2 linked regions of the Callithrix jacchus genome follow. The protein of the gene in region 1 interacts with the protein of each later gene in a biochemical or structural test. Links are inferred from orthologs where the notes say so. Each region holds a gene or a part of one and is shown on either strand. Other genes may lie near its edges.

Evidence for each region. The genes of interacting proteins can lie anywhere in the genome.
Region 2: the proteins of SREBF1 (region 1) and MED23 form a complex in vitro, tested with the Homo sapiens proteins (2 studies listed by BioGRID). The link is inferred for Callithrix jacchus from reciprocal best matches to the Homo sapiens genes SREBF1 and MED23.

Annotation. Positions count from the first base shown.
Region 1 is NC_133506.1:69,308,885-69,320,386, forward strand, and holds the start of SREBF1 (sterol regulatory element-binding protein 1), read left to right. Parts: upstream 1-5,518; 5' UTR 5,519-5,685; coding exon 5,686-5,776; intron 5,777-11,502.
Region 2 is NC_133505.1:138,226,857-138,236,583, reverse strand, and holds the end of MED23 (mediator of RNA polymerase II transcription subunit 23), read left to right. Parts: intron 1-1,026; coding exon 1,027-1,263; intron 1,264-2,070; coding exon 2,071-2,236; intron 2,237-2,781; coding exon 2,782-2,854; intron 2,855-3,718; coding exon 3,719-3,933; intron 3,934-4,555; coding exon 4,556-4,676; intron 4,677-5,405; coding exon 5,406-5,537; intron 5,538-7,182; coding exon 7,183-7,350; 3' UTR 7,351-8,279; downstream 8,280-9,727. UniProt on the Homo sapiens protein: Required for transcriptional activation subsequent to the assembly of the pre-initiation complex. Component of the Mediator complex, a coactivator involved in the regulated transcription of nearly all RNA polymerase II-dependent genes.

The sequences.
Region 1 (11,502 bases):
AAAAGAAATCTGTCTCCTCCCATCCCCGCAGCCTTTAGGAAGAAGCCTTTCTAAAAAGGCTTCTTTCCCTCTCTCCCCTTGTCCTGGAGGTGGGCGCCTGCAGCCCTTTGTTGTAAGGCAGCTGTCCCGGAAGCAGGCCCCCAGGCCCAGAGGCATAGGGAGTCATGAAGGGTGCATTGTGGGAGCCTGTGGGACCTGTGCCTTCTCCAGGTGGCTTGGGAGGCCGAGGGCCCTTTCATCCCTTCGCTGGGGCTTAAGGATGGACCTCAAGTTGGGGTGGACTCACCAAACCCCCAGTGAACCTGGAGATCTGCCCAGCCTCTCACTATGCCAGTGAAGACATGGAGGACCAGAAAGAGCTGTAGGCTTGCCCCAGGCTATACAGGGAGTAGTGGCGGAACCAGCAGCCAACCCAGCCAGAGCTGGACCTCCCAGACAGGGCCATGGATGGGCAGGAAAGACATTAATTCCATTGCCAGCAGATAAAGCTGCCCCACGCACCCTCAGCAGCAGCCCTTCTGGGAGGGTGGCTCAGGAGGGGCTCCGCTACCCACTGATAGGAGGCAGGTGGTCACGGCAGGGGCCATGTTGGGACCACCACCATCACCAGTCGTAACCAGGTACAATCAATAGATGGTCACTGCAATGTGGACAGAGAGGGCCAGAGATGGGAGTGACACAGACAAACTCCTGGGCTCTCCCAGTCTTCCCTCCTCAGCCCTTGGATGGAGAGCTGTTTTCCATCCCCAGAGATCTGGGAGGGGCTGCATGGAGAACTGTGGTTCCTCCATGGCTCAGAGTGCACCTGCCCATGAAAGGAGAAAGAGGGATTCTTTTCCAACCCACCTCTTTTTCAAGAAAAGGGGCTCCTTTGGGTCCTGGTGGGAGAGGGGAGGGCTGAACCTGAGACCCTGGATAGGTTTGCATGACCCACCCAGAAATTCTGCCAGTTTATTTTAGAGGAGTCCCTGTCAGAGCTTTTGGGGCAGAACCCAGAGGAGTCCGTCCAGGGCCTCCAAGCCGAGACTCTCAACATCCAAGAAGGCAAAATCTCTACTCTCAGCACTAGGGAGTGGACTCCATTGTCTGGTGCCACCCCCTGTCCACCCCATGCCTATCTGGGGTGGCAGGCTTAACTGTAGGTGTTGAGTAAGTCACTGTCTCACTCTGGTCTTTACTCCCCTGCTCCATAAACTGGTATAGTGGGTGGTCAACCCAGTGCCCACAGGGGCCTTATTACATTGATTTCCTCACTCTCTCTTCTGTCAGCAGGACTCACCCAGTTCAATATGCCCTTGGCCTCTCCCCAAAGAGCCAGTTACCCCCCAGGGAAGAGGTATTAGTCTTCCTCAGTCTTTGTGAGCTACCTCTCACCGTGCAGCAATCTTTGGGGTTCAAGTAGCTCTTTCGTGGAGGGCGTGTTCAGTGACTCATGGGTGCCCACATGAGTGTGAACCTCCAGGGCAAAGCTGGCCATGGAGGCTCAGAGAGGTCTGGAAAGAACTTGCCCAGCTCACCGCAGAGCTCAAGCGGGAAAGAGACCACGAGGGTCACCTAGGACCAGAATCTTCCACATCCACAGTCATCTCACCCCATTATGTACAGATGGAGAAGGGGAAGGGGAGACTCAGGCTCTGAGCAGTCTCTTCCCTCCTCCTCATGCCTCGGCCATAATCTGGGCAGGGCCCAGCCTGTGGGGCAAAGATTTGTTTCCTTGGTGGCAAAGACATAACCCAGCTTGGCTCCTACAGCAGTGAAGGCTCTGCAGGGCCAGGCAGGTTGGCAGGAGGCTCTGGGAGTGGGAAGAGGTTTCAGTAGCCTAGGCAATAGCGAGAGTGGCCAACCCGGTCTTCCTGCCCAGTGCCTGCCCTACCACCCACCGCTGAGCTCCGGGCACCAAGGGCATGGCTGGACAGGACCAGCGGCCTGGGAAGAGGCCCTGCCTGCGCTGGACGCCTGCCCGAAAAGGCTCGGAAACCACAGAAGCTGCCTCCCAGTCTCTAAGAGGCTTGGAGAGGAAGTGGGGAGATGCGAACCCCTATCTCCCAGTTGGCAAAGCCGAGGTCGGGCAGGGGCCGGGCTGAGTGACTTCGGCGGAATCCTCCGCTCTAGGAGCGCCACGCAGTCCCGAGTGGGGCAGTCCTAGGTTAGTCCGCCCGGTGCCCGCGACGCGCACCTGGCGGCAGTCCAGGCCAGGTGTCTGGCCTGGGGGATGAGCCCAGCCAGTCCCCGCCGCGCCGGCCCCCCCCCGCCCCCCCAGCCTCCCGGGTCGAGCGGGCGCAGCTCATGTGACCCAGGGCCGGGTTCCCGGGAGTTACGCGCTGACGCCGCGTCACCCCACTCCCGGCCGGGCGCCCATTGGCTGCGCCGGGCCCGGGGGGGGCGGAGCTGGTCTGGCTTGGCGCCCCGATTCCCCTGGGTCTCCGGCCGCTGCCCTAGCCCGCGCGCCAACCCGAGCTGGCCCGACTCTCCCGCTGCCTCCAGCCCCGACAAAATCAGGGGCAGCAGTGCTGGGAGATCCTGGGCAAGTCGCTTCACTGCCCCGCTCCATGTGCCTCAATCTGCTCACCTGTAAAATGGGATGGTAACAGCCTCAACCGCCTGAGGCTGTGGGGAGGAGGGAGTGGGTTTAAAGAGCACTGGGCACGCTGTAAACGCTCAGCGATTGTAGACAGTGCAGAACCCGCCGTCTGGGGTCACCGTGGACCAGGCTGGATCCCTGACCCCTGATAGGCACACCCGAAGAGGGCTTGTGTCCACGTTCCTCGGGTGTGCTCAACGTTCCCCAGCCAAGCGCGGCCTGTTTCAAGGTCTCAGGATTTTTGAAGGGAGGAGCCGCCAAGACAAGCCTGTTCCCCTGAAAAATGGACCCCCTCTCCTGGCTTCCCCAACCCTCACCTTGAGAGTTGTCCTGGTAATCCCAGGCTGTGAGGCAAAGATTTGTTTCTTTGGTGGCAAAGATGTAAATTCCTCCCACCCCAACGTGGGACTGTGCCCATGGGGGTTTCAGTTGGATTTTCTGGGCTGCGGGTCTCCTGTTGTCTTTGTCTTCTCTTCTTCTCCTCTCTCCTAACTCCTGCAGTTATGGAGTGCATATTTATTGAGCTATACTATTTACATATGTGGTAACCCATTTAAAAAATGGTGAGGCGGTCGGGGACAATGCTGTAATCCCAGTACTTTGGAAAGCCGTGCAGGCGGATTACTGGAGGCCAGGAGTTTGAAAGCAGCCTGGCCAACGTGATGAAACCCCATCTCTACTAAAAATACAAAAATTAGCTGGTGTGGTGGTGTATGTCTGTAATCCCATATACTCTGGAGGCTGAGGCAAGAGAATTGCTTGAACCCGGGAGGTGGAGGTTGCAGTGAGCTGCAATTGCGCCACTGCACTCCAGCCTGGACAACAGAATGAGACTCTGTCTCAAAAACAGCAACGACACCAAAAAAAGGGATAGTTGGTCGTGGTAGCTCAGGCCTGTAATCCCAGCACTTTGGGAGGCTGAGGTGGGTGGATCACCTGAGGTCAGGAGTTCAAGACCAGCCTGACCAATATGGTGAAACCCCGTCTCTATGAAAAATAAAAAAATTAGCCAGGTATGGTGGTGTGAGCCCGTAATTTCAGCTACTCAGGAGGCTGAGACAGGAGAATCTCTTGAACGTGGGAGGCGAAGGTTACAGTGAGCCAAGATCCTGCTGCTGCACTCCAGCCTGGGTGATAGAGCGAGACTCTCAAAACAAGAAACCAAACCAAACAAAAAACAGTGAGGCAAGTCTGTTGCGATGATGACTCTGAAACACCCTACCTGCCTCTGCAGAGTGACTGAAGGAAGGGTTAGTCCCATTTTACAGATCCAGTAGCTGAGACTCAGAAGAGAGGTAAGTGGTTCCAGGTCACACAGCAAGCAGGTGAAAACCCAGGTCACCTGCCTAGCTCTGAAGAAAGAGTTGAGGCTTGGCTGAGCACTTCCCATCCCACCCCTCTCCCTGGGAAGGGCTGTTTAAATTTTCAGGGAAGTCACCAGCTTCCTGCGTTCCCCCTCCCCAGTATTGGTGGGGGTGGGGCACTGAGATGCCAGCTTCATTCCCTGGGTTCTCCAGCAGTGGTTCATCTGGAGGGAGTGGGTCCTGTGTGGATCCTTGAGTAGGGGTGGCTGAGGAGATGTGGTTTGGCGACCCCCATAACTCTGGCGTTCCTGTTCTGGGTAATTTTCCATCGCAGCCACTTCTGAGAGAGGAACAAAGGGAGCTGCATGTCCAAGCCCAGGGACTTGGCTTTGTGGCTTCTCTCCCCCACACACCCCTTCTAACATGCACAGGAATTTTACTCCTGCTTAGGGTGTGGTCAGACCATATCTGGAGTCTGAGCAAGGCAGTCTGCAGGATGGCTTGACTCATTAAAGCCCAGGGTCCAGAGGGCCTGAGGACCAGGCCCTGGTGAGTTTCCTTGGCTGCCCTCCACCAAGGGTGCTTCTGTCTGCTTGCATACCTCTGGGGACAGGGAGCTCACTGTCTTATCACATTCAGATAACTGAATGTTAATTCTGGTTTATTTCAACCCACCTCATTGGGACCCCTTCCCTCCTTCCCGCTCCACCTGGCTCTGTCCCTAGGCCACAGAACTGGGTTTGGTTTCTCTCTTCTCATCAGGGCTGTCTGCTCTGACCTAGTCCCAGCTGTCATGGTCCAGGGCAGCCTGGCTCTGAGCTAAAGCTCAGCCAACTCTTCCTTGTGGCCCCTGTCTTGGCCACTCCCAGGAACAAGCACCAAATTTGGGATCAGACAGCCCTGGGGCCAGCCGTCCTTGGGTACCCGCTTCCTCTGTCAGGAGCGGCACTGGGCCTGCTGGGGTCCTATCCCTAGGGCTGGATCTGGGACGAAACCAGATGACGACGATAGGAAATTCCAGCCTCTTTCTTCAGTCACTCCTGTCTTCAGGTGGCCAATCTTCTGGTTTCTTTGGAGAGAGGGCAGGCTGATCTCCACATCGTCACTAGCCTCCCAGCCTGCCGGTGAGGAAGCATCATGAGGCCCACGTTACAAATGAGGGAAACTGAAGCTGAGTGATGTAACTGGCCCAGCAGTTACATCAGGTCTGCTCACAACACAGCAAACCTGGGACCCCTGTAACTTGGGTCCTGGTCTGTGTTGTTCTCAAGAGTGAAATCTAGGAAGTGAGGAAGCTTTGGTTTGTGATGGGCCCAGGCCTGGGGCTTCCACTCAGCTCCTTGCTTGGTGCTGGAGAAACCGAGGCCCAGAGAGAGGACTTGGTTTACCCGCGTTCCCGCAGCAGCCGGCCAGAGGCCGCTCTGCCACGGTGCGCGAGGCTGGACAAAATGAATGACTGGAGGGCGCTCTGGAGGAGGGGCCCGCTGAGGGCAGATTTGTGGCGCAGACTGGGGATCAGGGGTACCCGCTCTCTCAAGGTGGGGCGGGGCCGTCTATCTGGGAGGGCGGGGCCTCCCCCGAAAGGCCCCGCCTCCTCCTTCACCGCCCAGCGGAGCCGCTGCCGCGGGAACCCAGTTTCCGAGGAACTTTTCGCGGGCGCCGGACCTCCTGCGAGGCCAGGGCAGGACACGAACGCGTGGAGCGGCGGCGGAAGCTGCGAGCCGGGACCGGCGGCAGTCCCTCAGAAGGGCCGTGCGCGGCGGCGGGCCCGGCGGGCCTCCCGGAGGAGGCGGCTGCGCCATGGACGAGCTGCCCTTCAGCGAGGCGGTTTTGGAGCAGGCGTTGAGCGAGCCGTGCGATCTGGACGCGGCGCTGCTGACCGACATCGAAGGTGCGTCAGGGTGGGCAGGGCTTGAAGCCGCGCCGGGTGGCGCGAGTGGGGGGCGCGCAGGTGGCTCCCTGGCCTTTGTCTCCCCCCTCCCCGGGCGCCAGCTTCGTGCTGAGCTGCGCGCCGTGGACCTCGGTGTCCCGGGCCTCGCCGAGCCTTCCTGGCTCCCGCCCTGGCGTTTCGAGCCGCGCGCTCGGCGAGGACTCCCGGGCCGGGCCGGTGTCCCTTGGCGGCTCCGGGCCGGGACACGTGCGCCTCTACGCGTCCCAGGCCGGGTACCGCCCGACCGGTGGGTGAGTCTCCAGCCCTGTGGCGGCCGCGGCTGGAGCTGGGGACCCGGGCGTCGTCGAAGCCCCGCCCCAGCCCCAGCCGTGACGTCAATGAGAGGTTACTCACGGTCATTCCCTCCGGCCCGAGAGTTCAGCTGGGCGTCGGAGCTCGTGCGCAAGCGCACGGGCGCTGCTCGCCCACTTGCCCGGCCACGGGTCGGGTTTCCCCGGTCTTCTACCGGCATCGCCTCCGCACTCATTCACTAACCGAATGCCAGGCCCCGTCTTAAGCACCGAGGGATCACAGACAGTCCTGGGCACCCGCTCTTTTCGGGAACACCATCCCCCGGGAAACCAGCAAATAGATATTTAGTTGCACGTTGGGTGGAGCGGGGCGAGGGGAGGGCAGGTAGGTGGCTACTTTGGGTAGAGCGTCAGGGACTTCTGAGCTGAGACCTGAGGGCCACCCCCAGGACTAGCAGGGAAAGATGTTTTCCAGGCCAGGGCGAGGGAAGGGCGAAGGCCCCGAGGCAGGGCCTAAGTGTGAGGAGTTAAAGGCTCGTAAAGGTTGCGGAGGGAGAGGACGCCAGCAGCCTTACTCGGCCAGGGAAGGGGCGGAGCAGGACCGCGGCACCTGCTTCCATCTTTGGAGCACCACACTGGCTGTCAGGGGACGGGGTTTGGGGCCAACGGTGGCACTAAGTGCCAGTTAGGAGGCCCGTTGCTTCCATTTTGCAGACAGCAAAGGAAAGTCCCAGCAAATTTCCTCCATGGTTTCCGTGCAGGAGCTTTAGCAACATGGGCTAAGTTGCACTTGGTTGATGAGGAAACTGAGGACGAGGTTGCAGGAAGAAGATGCCTAGACTCACAACCTGAATGGACATGTCCGTGGAACCTGTGGCCACCCTGGGGCTGGCAAAACAGATGTATCTATGCCACCCCCACTCCTGCCCTACTGCAGCCTTGCAGATGAGCTCAGCTGGCTGCCAGCTCCAGGAGCTTCCCAGCCCTTCCTCCTTCCCTCTGGGGCTTGGCTAGGGGAGGACCCAAGAGGAGAGGCCCTGATTTTGAGGCTTTTCCAAAACAGCCTCCCCTACACCTGGCAGGAGGGGTTGTCCTTCACTGCATCCTGGAAAGGTGGACCCTGAAATCCCAAGCCCTAGGGAGATCTAGGCCTGACTTAACTAGTTCCATAGCACAGGGCCCAGTGAGGGTAGTCCAAGAGGCAGCAGGACCAAGCCAGCCGGACATGGGCTTTGGGGTCAGAACTTGAACCTGGATGCTCCTCACTTCCTCTGCCATCCTGCTCAAGCCCTCTCACTCTCTGAACCTTAGTTTCCACCTCCAGAAGAATGAGGATACAAACCCTCCCTTCATGGGCAGCTGGACAGCAGAATCCGGTCTGGGCCACAGGTCTGATACAGACCTTTCTTACTGACTCATGGATAAAAACACTGTCTCTCCAGATCCAAAGGCCAGGCATGGGCAGCCATGTGGCCCAAGTTCTAGTCTGTGAGAGAGCCCCAGTGCCTTGAAGATTCGGCAGCCCCTTCTCACTAGGCAGGCCCAGCTTTACCCAGTTCAGTAGAGGATTTTTCAGTTTTTATTCAAACTTCCTGTTCTTTCCAATTAAACATATTTTTTTTTTATTATTTGTTTTGTTTTGTTTTTTGAGTCGGAGTTTCACTCTTGTTACCCAGGCTGGAGTGCAATGACGCGATCTTGGCTCACTGCAACCTCCGCCTCCTGGGTTCAGGCAATTTTCCTGCCTCAGCCTCCCAAGTAGCTGATATTACAGGCATGTGCCACCATGCCCAGCTAATTTTTTGTATTTTTAGTAGAGCTGGGATTTCACCATGTTGACCAGGATGGTCTCGATCTCTTAACCTCGTGATCCACCCACCTCGGTCTCCCAAAGTGCTGGAATTACAGGTGTGAGCCACCGTGCCCAGCCCCAATTACACATCTTTTTTCATTGTAGAACAATTAGCAAGTGCAAGTGAGCAAAAAGAAGAAACTAAAACCTTTAGACCAGGTGTGGTGGCTCACGCCTATAATCCCAGCACTTTAGGAGGTTGAAGCAGGAGGACTACTTTTATCCAGAAATTTGAGACCAGCCTCGGCCACATGACAAGATCCTGTCTCTACAAAAATAAAAAAATTAGCTGGGTGTGGGTAACACATGTTTGTAGTCTCAGCCATGCTGGAGGCTGAAGTGGGAGGACTGCTTGAAGCTGGAGCTGCAGTGAGCTGTAACTGCGCCACTGCACGCAGCCTGGGTGACAGTGAGATTCTGTCTCAAATAAAACTTTAAAGCTATCACCCAGAGATAAGCCCTGCTAATTATGTGAAAGAGCTTTTCTTCTCTGTCTCTCTCTCTCTCTTTTTGGTTTGGGATGGCTACACACTCTTCATAAACCTTTTTTTTTTTTTGAGACAGGGTCTCACTCTTTTGCCCAGGCTAGAGTGCAGTGGCATGATCTCACCTCACTGCAGCCTCCGCCACCCAGGTTCAAGAGATTCTCCAGCTGCCAGGTAGCTGGGATTACAGTTGTGCACCACTGTGCCTGGTTAATTTTTGTATTTTTAGTAGAGACGGGGTTTCACCGTGTTGGCCAGGCTGGTCTCAAAGTCCTGAGCTCAGGTGATCTGCCCGCCTCAGCCTCTGAAAGTGCTGGGATTACAGGTGTGAGCCACCACACCAGCCTTCATCAGCTTTTTAAAAACAACTTGATTGAGGTATACTTTACATACCACAATATCTATCCATATTAAGTGTGTCATTCAGTGATTTGTAGTTTTCTGCGTTGTGTGACCATTACTAGCTGTAGAACATTTTTATCGCCCAGTAAATTCCCTCCTGCTCCTTTAGTCACCTCCTGCTCTTGCTCCTGGCCCAGGCAGCTATGGATCTGTACTTTTATAAATTAAAATAGGGGGCGGGCGCGGTGGCTCACGCCTGTAATCCCAGCACTTTGGGAGGCCGAGACGGGTGGATCACGAGGTCAACAGATCTAAACCATCCTGGTCAACATGGTGAAACCCCGTCTCTACTAAAAATACAAAAAATTAGCTGGGCATGGTGGCGCGTGCCTGTAGTCCCAGCTACTCAGGAGGCTGAGGCAGGAGAATTGCCTGAACCCAGGAGGCGGAGGTTGCGGTGAGCCGAGATCGTGCCATTGCACTCCAGCCTGGGTAACGAGAGCGAAACTCTGTCTCAAAAAAAAAAAAAATTAAAATAGGGTCCATAGTTTCACAGAAGATTGGAACCTGCTTGGTTCCATGTCAACAGCTAGATGACAATCAGGCTCCCTCAATTCCCCACCTGATCCCCTGTCGATGGACACCTGGGTTGTTTTATCTTCATAAACTGTGCTATAGTGGACACCGAGGCCAGTCTCTGCCCAGTCCTCATTGTGTTTCTAGGATGAGATTCTGGGAGGGGATTGCTGGACAGAGATTGAGCCTGCTTTCGAAGCTTCTTCTACTAGGCATAGAGCTGAGCAGGTTTGATAAGGTCTGAAGAGAGGTGATTTGGGGGTGGAAATGCCAGGTCTCTTGAGAGACATGAGGGATAAGAGGAGGCCAGGCCAGCCTTGATTGTCAGAGTACAGAGCTGGGCTAGATGTGGGGGTCAGTCAGCAGTCGGAGCAGGGGCGCGCTGTGCTTCAGCTCCCTCTGGCTGCCTGGGTGGAGGATCGTAATGTGAACAGAAAACACTAATTGAGTCCTTACTGTGCTCCAGACACTACTGATGATCTTATTTAATCCCCCGACAACCCCAAGTGGGTAGACATATGATGAAGATGACAGCCTTGAGCACCAGAGAGGTTAAGTGACTTGCCTGAGGTCACACAGCCAGATAATGGCAGAGCCAGGATTCAAACCCAGGCCATGGGCTCCGGAACCTAGCTCTTAAGCTCTTAATCACTGAGCTCCTAAGAATGGGGATGAGGGGTTGAGGGAGGCTGCTCCATGTGGGGCTATGTGGGGACCTGGGAGTGTGGGTCATAGAGGGGTCAGAGGTTATGTGGCCACCTCCCCATCCCAGTCCACAGTAGCGTTTGAGTCATCAGACTGGGAACTGGCCCAGGGGAGCCAGCCAAGGGTTTTGAGCCCCATTCTGTCCTGCTGCCTGCCATGGCCAAACGCTTGTCACGTGGATGGATTTGGGAGTGGAGAGCCCTTGCGTCTGTGGGTGAAGGCACTGTCCTGGCTATAGTGCCCCTGGGTTTGAGTCCTGCCTCTGCACCAAGACCTCAGGCTCACCTGTCTCCTCCTGGGCCTCACAGTACCTTGCGGCAGTGGGGAGTGATGGATCGGGAGAGCAGTCCTGTGCCTGCATTGGGGATTATTATTAAGCCTGTGGCAGTCTTCACCTCCCTGCTGAGGATTCATTCATCCGATTTTGCACAAGCTTCTAAGTGCAGAAGAGGCAGATGGAAACAGAGCTCTGGCTGAGGGCCTAGAAGGGGGCCTCAGGGTCTCTTTCCTCTACCTGGACCCCGTCATGTCTGCTCTTTGTCAGACCCCAGATTTCTGCCAACCCCCATCAGACGCTGCTTCCTGGGAAGCTCTTCTGGGCGTCACCTTGACCTAAGCAGTGCATCCTCAGAGTTCTCCAGCCCTGATGTCCCTCCCAGCATGCCCAGCCCAGCCACCACAGAGCCTGGCTTCCAGTCATGTGTCTGGCTGTTTCCTGGGTCCAGGCCAGCCCTGGTAGGACACAGTGGGGGCCCGCTCTGCCACCCCATACCTGTCCCCAGAAATCTCATGTCCCAGTTCCCTTCCCAGTCCTACCAAGCACCTGGATGCCTTGGAAAACATAGCTCTAACTGTTCACTGTCCAGGTCCCAGCATGGAACTCCCCTGCTCTCCAACCATGCATAGCTCCCCAGTGCTCCAAGATAAAGTTCCCTTCTCTCCGAGGGGCATTCAAGACTTGCAAAGGTTGCCAAACATGCCCCTCCTGTGATATTGGCCATTTATCCAGAATCCCTGGCCTCAGGCACAGCCTGCTCTGCTATGGTGCCCCTTCTCCCTCATCCCGGTGTTGAGAGCCCTCTCGGGGGTGGAGCCTGAGGGGGTCTCTCCTATCAGACATGTTCCCCTTCCCATGCCTTTTTCTGCCTCTTGGCATCCAGCCTGTCCAACCCCAGGGTGGCAGAAAGCTCTCCCAGTGTGACCATGCATTGCTGTTTCTCCTAGGGAAAGCACCCTGCCCTCTCTGAACTGCAGGGCGCTCCCCTGAAAAGCAGGAAATGGAGGCTGTAGGATTTGCTGCCTTTCAGCCCCCAAGGGGTTTGGCCCTAATGCATCTGAAGGGACAGGGTTGGGGAGATGGAGAGGAGGGTGCTGGGAGGGGGACCAGGGAGGCAGCGGGCAGGTGGCTGGTAGTTACCTCCTGCCCAGCAGTCAACTAGCCAGACACAAACATCCCAAGTGACCCGGTCAGCTCCA
Region 2 (9,727 bases), on another chromosome or scaffold:
TTAGGAGGAAGCCCTTTCAAGGACATGTCAAAAAGCCCAGTTGTGTGATTAGTATCCAAACAACAATGGTGGCATTGAAAATGAGAAACAGGAAAAAAAGGGGACAAATGATTACAAAAGAAAGAACAGGACTTGATTGGTTGGTTATAGGGAAAATATTGAAAGAAAAATCAAAGACAGCTTTAAAGTTTTAAGCATAGTAACTGGAGAGTGGCAGGGTCAGTGACGGAAATGTGAAGGTTGTGGAGCAGCCACTAAGGGAACAAAGTGGTTGGCAGCCAGTCCTTCTTCATCTTTAAGATACCTTTCCTCAAAGCAATAGCAATAATTGTGTGTTAACATGATAGAATAGGCATAAAGTTCAAGTGAGCATTCTTTTAAAAATGTTTTTCTTTTGGATTAGGTAATATATGCACTTGGTAGGAAGAGTATATAGTGAAAAGTAGTTCCATCCTGTTTCCAGCTAGCCAGTTTCTTTCTCGGTAGGCAGTCAATGTTACCGATCTCTTGCCATCCCTTCTTAGAGATCCTGGGTGTTTTTCTTTTGTTTTGTTTTGTTTTGTTTTGTTTTTAACACAAATAAAATGTAATACACACATTGTTCTGTGCCCTGTTTGTTTCAACTTTATCATATATTAGGGTTGGCCATTTGTATCAATACATGCCATAATTTATTTTATTAGTTCCCTGTTTTTGACTTTTTAGGCTGTTTTTCATTTATGGTAGCGTAAAGAACATCCCTTGTTGTATGTCAAGGGATGAAAATTTATGCAGAATACATTTTCAGAAATGGAGTTGCTTCCACTTAAATAAAAACAAATGCAAATACAAACTGCATATTACTAGAAGCATTCTGAGCCTTCTGCCTCTACTCAGGTTAAAATATCCATAGTATACAATTGTCCAGCTGTGAAATTGTTTCATAATCTTCTGAGCTGTTTTTCAGTTATCTTGAAAGCAGTGGATTAGTTTTTCACAGTTATCAGTAACCAGTTAAACGTGTGGTGATATTTTTTTTCTTGGCAGATCGTCCAGTGACTTACCTGTATAATACTCTGCACTATTATGAAATGCACCTGAGAGACCGCGCATTTCTCAAACGAAAACTCGTCCATGCTATCATCGGCTCTCTCAAGGATAATAGACCACAGGGCTGGTGTCTAAGTGACACTTACCTGAAGTGTGCTATGAATGCACGAGAGGAAAATCCATGGGTTCCAGATGACACCTACTATTGCAGATTGATTGGCAGACTAGTCGATAATATCCTTTCTACTCTGATTTTACAGACTCTCCAGAAATAACAGTATTTTGATTTATGAGAACGTATTTTTCTTTTTAAGGTAATTTTTTATATATTCCAAGGTTTTACTTTTTTTTTTAAGATCACTTCCCTTTTTATCTCTCTAAAGGTTTGAAATCTTAAATTAGCAGCATCATGCCAGATAGGCTGAAATTCTTTTAAAATTTATATTTTAGAACTTGAGGATAAGTGGTTAAAAATTATATTTAAAAATAGACTTTATGGAGATTTGTTTCAAAGAAAAAAATTTATTCTTAAATGAACTCTATTTTGTAGCACATGCATCTGTGTGCTACTGGAGAATGTAGCATCTTGTTACTTTAAAAAAGTATGTTTTTATTAAATAATAAACGATAAAACATTTTTCTTTTTTTAGTGAAAAGGGATATTTTAGTGAAAATATACTTGTATGTTTCTTCATTTTGATTTTATGTTTTCATTTATTAGCATCTATACTTCATACCACCATTTTACTATGTAGAGAAATTCTACGTAAATGAGTGTGACTTGTTTTCCTACATAAAGGAATTTATTTTCTGAAGCAAAAGAAGAGCTCATTATAAAATAATGTTCATATTAATGTCTTATAACTTTTAGAAGAAATAGGCTCATGAAGTCTAGGTATACCTTGATTGCATCTGTGGCTATTATACATCACATTTATAAGAACCCACCTGTAAGACCAACCATTTATACTTGTGGTTAATTAAATGATTGCTCTTAATACATTTCAATCATGTCAGTGTTATTGCTTTAACTGTGTGCACCAATGGCTGGCAAATCTCCTGGTCCCTTTCCAAACTGTGACTGGAGATTCAATGAGTTTCCCAACCCAGCTGCCCACGCTCTCCATGTTACATGTGTGGAGCTCATGGCCTTGGCAGTTTCAGGCAAAGAGGTCGGGAATGCCCTTCTAAATGTTGTCCTGAAAAGGTATGTATTCTGGTTCATGCAGTAAGATTTGTTGTTTATTTGTAAACAGAATGGTGTTTTATTTGGACCTTTAAGACAGACCTGTTGCCACAAGGCTGTTGAACATTGGATGATGACTGTTTTCTGGTTCCAGATCTTGTCTTTGTGATATAGGAGTTATGGAATGAGCCCTGGATAGGATCATTAAGATCTGGGTTTGTTCCTACTTCTACTCATTAATAGCAGTTTGACATTTAGTTTAGGATTAATGTTAACTTGTCACTTAAAACAAGATTCTCTTAATCTTGTTTTCAAGATTTCAAGAATCTCTTAAAAACTAGCACAAAATATTGGATAATGATTGGGGAAGAAGTATTTTTAAAGAGCCTTATTGAGTTTCTATGTATATTACATTTTTATTCAATAAAAAATTCCCCATTGTTTTATTGAAATTGATTAGTTTTCAATCCTCTGAATTATACATATTCTTTAAAACTAAGATCCATTGTCAACCATCTAAAATGTTTTTATAATTTCATACTTGTGTTCTTTTTTGCTGGTTGCAGTCAGCCTTTAGTGCCAAGAGAGAACATTACAGCATGGATGAATGCAATTGGTTTGATCATCACTGCCTTACCAGTGAGTTAATAATTGTGATTTGTACTTACTGATGAAATACAGCCCCTTGTTCCATGTCAGCAAAAAGAAAAAGATGCATATAGGATGCCCTGGTACAAGGACGTCAAACAAATTAATGAAGTATTTTATGTTTTTAAAGTTTTTCATATTATTACTGCTTTAAAAATTTACAGTGACTAGTTTTTGCCTTTCTGTATTAGATCTAAATACCTCTGCATAACTTACATGTCTCTGCATTTTCTGGTACCACCTTACCTATCCAACTTTAGTTTTTACATTATAACCTGATCTACTCTTGGCCACTTAATATGTTGTGTATCTACAGCCTTTGTTCTTGCAGATGGTACTTATTAAGACATGTTTTAGGTACTTCCGAATGTGAGTGAATAAGACATTATTTTTATTCCAGAACCTTCTTCTTTCCATCACCTTCTCTAAAGCCTATTTATTCTTTGCTAGCTTAGAGCCTCCTTTCTTAGTGAATGAAGCCTTACCTGACTTTTCCAGCCCACATGAAGACTCCCTTCTCTGACCTCCACACATATCTAAAAAAAAGTTTATTATTATAAAATAAGCAATAAAACTATTGATTTATTGTTTGGTAAGTTAATTGATTTACTGCATAGTATATATCAGGTACCTAAATGAGCTGGACAGATAAATGTATGGAGCCCCCTAACTCACAGGCACTTCTCCCAGGTTGTTACTGACTTAATTTGCCCAGTTACAAAGTCATCCAACAGATTTCCAGCAGAAGCTGGAAAAGTAGAAAACTTTAAAGACTGAGAAAACACTATTATTTTAGTCTTTGTGATAGAATGCTAGATAAGTGATTTTTTCACTAGCTTTCCTCCAATTTTAAAGGAGCCATACTGGATTGTTCTTCATGATCGAATTGTGAGTGTTATCAGCAGCCCCAGCTTGACATCTGAAACAGAGTGGGTTGGCTATCCATTCCGCCTCTTTGATTTCACTGCCTGTCATCAGTCCTACTCTGAGATGAGCTGTAGCTATACATTAGCTCTCGCACATGCTGTGTGGCACCATTCTAGCATTGGACAACTTTCTCTCATTCCAAAGTAAGTGTAATAATTTCTTAAAGAAATTTGACATATTTCATTTTTTTCAATCTCATTAACAGATGAGGTATATACCTCATTCATTAGAACAATTTGCAAAGTAAGTTCATCAGAAAGCTCCTTTTGCTTCAGAATTGTTTTCTGAAAAATTGACTTGTATATGCTAGTAATAATCTAGTAATGTAGTTTTTCCACTGTAGTTTGAAGAGGCTTAGTCAAATGCATACCTTTTCCAGAATGTATCCCGAAAGTTACCTTTTAAACTGAATAACTGCTATTATCCTATTTCCTGATTATTTTTCTTGACCATAAAAGTGGTATTAATTGATTGAAATTTCTATATCGTGGCATTTATTAGATTATTCTCTTTTTATTTCAGATAAATCAGTAGTTTTACTGTAAAGAATGATTTAAATCCGGTATTTCAATAAATAATCAAATGAAAGTAATAGCCAGTAAGAGATGTGAGATTAATTAGAAATATTATTGTTACAGAATTAAAAGAAACTTTTAAAATTAAAAGTTTTGTTGTAATACTTTATAAATACTATATTAACAAAATTCAAACAATTTAAATAATTTCAAGTTACAGGAGATTTTTATTTTTATCTTCAAATTTTAGGTTTCTCACGGAAGTACTTCTTCCTATAGTGAAGACTGAATTCCAGTTGCTTTATGTTTACCATCTTGTAGGACCATTTTTACAAAGATTTCAGCAAGAGAGAACTCGTTGTATGATAGAGGTAAAATATAGTCTGGGTTTTCTGTGACATGATTAAATTCTGAATTATCTATTTAGGTTTCTTTGCATTATTGGAACCTCAGGTCACAACCATTAGAAGTGAAACTAGTTTAACAAGATCCAAGAGCGATTGTAGAGGACTTAGTATGCCAGTAATTATGTGGGGTGGGATGTATTGAATTGGATATGCAGGGGAAATACCCATCATGAAGGCTGAGAAGAGGTTAAGGATGGAGAAGTACATTTGAGATCTTACAGTGCAGAGGAACTAATGAAAATCATGAGAATGGATGATATCAGTCACTTATAACAAGATGTCAAAAACAAGGAAAGGAGCCAGGAATAGAACCTTAAGGCAAGAGCTACCAAATGGAACAAAGAAAGTATAATCCAAAGGATCCCTAGAAGTAGAGTTTACCCAGACATCGAGATATGGTGTCTAGAAAGGAATTGTTTATCTCTTAATTTCAAGAGAAATTACTAAACTATGAAGAGATATTTTATTTAAGCCTTATTAGGGGCATTTTATAGCACTACAGATTGTTTTATAAATGCAGGTCACATTGTATCTCCCAAGTGCATAGAGGTGTATATATGGCATGTGACAGTTCTACAGCAAACACAGTATCTGCCGGTGCTAGTGCTATAATGGTGCCCATCTGCATCATGCTGAATTATTGAATCACTTCACTTTCGACCACTTAAATAATTTTACATTATTTGTAAACAGATTGGTGTGGCGTTTTATGACATGCTGCTGAATGTCGACCAGTGTAGCACCCATTTAAATTACATGGATCCCATCTGTGACTTCCTGTATCACATGAAGTATATGTTTACTGGTGATAGTGTGAAAGAGCAAGTAAGCTGAATTTCTTTAATTCTTTTTAATGATGCTGGATTTGGAAAATTTGAACATATAGTGATAGACTTTTTTGATTTGGGTGATTATTTTTGTCTTTTTTTTTTTTTTTTAAGGAAAAAGGGTGGGTATGAGACCTTTTTAGGCAACAGGGGCGTATTATTCTAGATGACATACTAAAGTAAATACAAGTTATAATTTCTCATCCTTTTCTCTCTTGATATTTGCAACAGAACATCTAAAAAAAAAAGATGTAGAGGGTTAGTTAATGGTAATCTCATTGGGGAGAAACAGTGGGATATGGCTGCTGAAGTATGAGCAGAGAGGTTGCTGTGTTCTGAGTAAAGGAGGTCCTACTTCTCCTGACACTTACGGTGACAAACTGCGGCTTAACTAGAAGACTAAACTCAGGATTCCAGACTAAACCTGACTAGAGACTAACTCATGAAGAGTATTTAAAGCATATGGGAATGCTGACCCTGAAAAAAAAAGTCTTAGGGAATTATTGATGACCTCAGTCTTTGGAAAGGTTTCCGTTTGGAAAGAGAGGCCATGCTGACATAGCATATGAAGAGGAACTTCCTAATAGAGATGCCTGAAAGTAGAAAAAGACCTTGAATCATAACTGAGTTCCTATGTGTAGGAAACAGAATCTGGGCTATTTTAAAGGGGTGGAGGTAGGACAGACAGGGAAAGTTAAGTCCATCCTCTTCCACTTCCCAATACTTTAATGTTATTTCCTTCTATAATGGAGAGGAAGATAAACTGCTGTGTAGCCATATGAGTCTAGTCTAAGGCTTCTTTCTTTGGAGCTGGAGTTGGGAGGATGTTGACTCCTTATGTCTCAGCAGCAGTGTCAAAGAGAGTTAACCTGTTCTCCCTCATGTAAGAAAGAAATTGTATCTGCTTTTGTTACAACACAGAACATTCAGAAAACCTGTGAAGAAACGTTTTTGTTTTTTTTGTTTGTTTGTTTTTAGTTCTTAGAGTATTCTTTACATTTGAGCCTAAGTTTGACTCAAGGGAGTACAGAAAGGAAAAGGTCAAACAGCCTTTGAGTAAAGCTAAGAAAGCTGTGGAACTACTTGATGTATTTGTCTCTTTAGTGTTTTTCAAAAGAGTAGATCTAATATTATTTATTTTGAATTCCAAGTATAAATCAAACCTAAAATAATTAGCTTTGTAGATGAATGTTGCAGACATGAGTTATTCAAAGAACTTTAAAATATAATTAATGCTTCATGCTTCTGTAAAGATAGCATTTTAAAAAATGATCAACTCGTTGGATGTATAAAATTTCCAGTATAAACTCTGCTAGCTTTTGGTAGCAGGATGACTGGCTAGCTAGATAAATGGATATGCTTTTGTAAGTATATGCATATATTTGACTATACATGTGGTACATGTACAGACATGCATATGTAACATATAATGGGTGTGTGTGAGGGAGAACATGTTGTTTCTCATGCAAGAAAGATATAATTGTATCTGCTTTTCTTAAAACACAGAACATGTTGAGAAACTTCTCATCTACCCCACGCCGCTCCTTAGTTTATTGTCTCAGGATATATGTAAGTCTTGCTTTAAATGTGAGAAGTTGAAATTCTCTGATTAAAGTACTTTTTAATGTGTTTTTATTTCTTAGGTGGAGAAGATTATCTGTAACTTAAAACCAGCTTTGAAACTTCGTCTTCGATTCATCACACACATTAGCAAGATGGAGCCAGTTGCAGTGCCTCCACAAGCCATCAACAGTGGGTCTCCAGCACCTCAGTCTAATCAGGTGCCAGTGTCTCTACCAGTAACTCAGTGAAGCCAGACTCTACTATGGAGAAAGTGGAAATGCATCCATCTTTGAGAGTGGACTCAAACCTATTAAATCTGAATGCTGTCATGCTATAGTGATAATAGTAGAAGCAGTGATGATGTTCAGATTGTTTTATTTTGATTCAGATGATGAATCTGTTGACACCTTATAACACCCATCTCCCTAACTATATTTTTGTCTCTAAGAGATCAAGATTCATGTTGTTCATATTCATAACAACTTATTAGAGCTACGTAGGAACATAGAGGTATCTGTGATCAAGTGACTTTGTCATTGGCACTTTCAGTCTTTTCTAGCTGTTGCTTTTGTTTGTATTTTTTTATTAATAACGTATTTAGTGTTCAGATATATTATTTTAAAGGCACCACACATGTAAAACAGTTATTACAAATCCTTTTATACGTAAATCTCTTTTGGTAGATCTTTAGAATAATAGAGATTTTTATCAAGAAAAAAAATCTGCACTTTGTTGCATTGTAGGAACAAACAAGGCTTCATATTCTTTTTTAAATGACTTGAAATTTTATTATAAATTTCCATTGTTTCTATCAAGGTCAGTTGGCAGTTTTATTACCTTTGCTATGGACTCAAACTTACTGTATAAAATGAGCTGAAAGCCATGTAAAAAAATAACATCTGAAAATTCTTAAACTTAAATAAAACTATGCTTAAATGGTTGATTCTCCAATTTCTTTTTTTAAAAATAAGTTAATTGCTTTTGCAGGTTGACGCTCTCACCTGACAGATGATATAATTCTTCAAATTCTTATAATCTTAAAATTTTTAAATTTTTATAAAGTACACATTTTATTTCTTCAGAATATCTTAGATTTTGAGAGACATTGTTAATTTGGGGGCAATTGGCATTGTGAGAGACTTGAAAACTAATGAGTAAAATCTGCTGAATGAATAAACCGCGTGACTGTTTCATGACTCCATTGGAATGAGTGTCTGCTGTATGCCAGGTGGTGTGTTGGCTAGGTTCAGTTGGAAATGGGGTACTCTATGGGTCATACACTACAGGTGGTGACTGATGTTGGCCTACGAATTAAGAGTTACAGATTCTTTTAAAAAGAGCTAGTGAATTTAACCAACTGTACTTCAAATTCATGTTTCTAAATACATTCCCCCTAGAACTTTATTTTCTTTGTAGCTCATGTTATTGCCATCACTAAATCATTACTGGCCATGCAAGTCTAGCTAAAAATATATGTAATGGTAAAAATAATTTTTGCAGACTCAATTCTTAAAATTACCTAGAAAAAAATGCTAGAAATTATTTCAAGTTATTAATCTTAACATGGTGTCAATATATTCGTGCTGCCTTGAGGAATATATTACTTTTTGATCCTAGAATGAGAATAAAATTGTGACACTAGTGTTGTACAAACAGAATAGAGGAAGTGAAAATCAATATAATCACTTTCTCAAGGATATAAACATTCTAATTTATTAAAAATTTAGTTTTCCCTCTCTAGTTTAAAAACATGGGATAGATTTTTAAATAGGTTTTTAAGCAGAGACTAAGGGAAGACAAACTTTATTTGGGTCTACAATACTGCTGATGGGAAAAATATGCCTTTATATTTATCACATCCTGAAAGTTTTTCTTTTTGAAAATAGTTTAGAGTGGCCCTGTCTGCAATGATGCAATGTTCTGCATTGATGCAGATGACTTTCTGCAATGATGCAAATGTTCTATACCTGTGCTATTCAATACACTAGTTAGTAGCTGCATTTATCTGTGAAGTATTTGAAATATGGATCTGAATTTTTAAATTTTACTAAGTTTTAATTTGACCATATGTGGCTGCTGTATTAGATAATATATCCTAGAGTGAGGTCCTTTATAATTGTTCCCATCTAGAAGTAATTCAATAAAATGTTTATCTTTTAAAGGCCCAGTAGTTAAAGGTAACAGTTTTTAAATTCTGTGTTACATTTGAAAAATCAGATTGTAGGGGCTGTTTTATCATATAGCTGTTAAAAACACAGAAGAAATTCATTCATGAAGCCTACCTTATTTACAGAACCGCCTGGGGTTTTTACAAAAATTACTGGGAAGAGAAAAACTTTGCTTCCCTTGTTTTGATTGCAATTTACCATGGTTTGTTTTTTCCATTTTCCTTACTACATTCCAGAGCCAAGATGAGTTTTTAGGATATAGCTGATGGTACTGTAATTGCAGGGTGAGTGAAGGGTGAAACATTGGAAGCCACAGGTAATTTTAGATGACATCCTCAGCTGAATCAGTCATTCTTAAAAACAAACTAGCAATATGATTTATCTGGCTCCTGAATAGATTTTTGGAAGCATCTTTTTTTTTGTTTCCCAAAGTCTCACTCTTGCCCAGGCTGGAGTG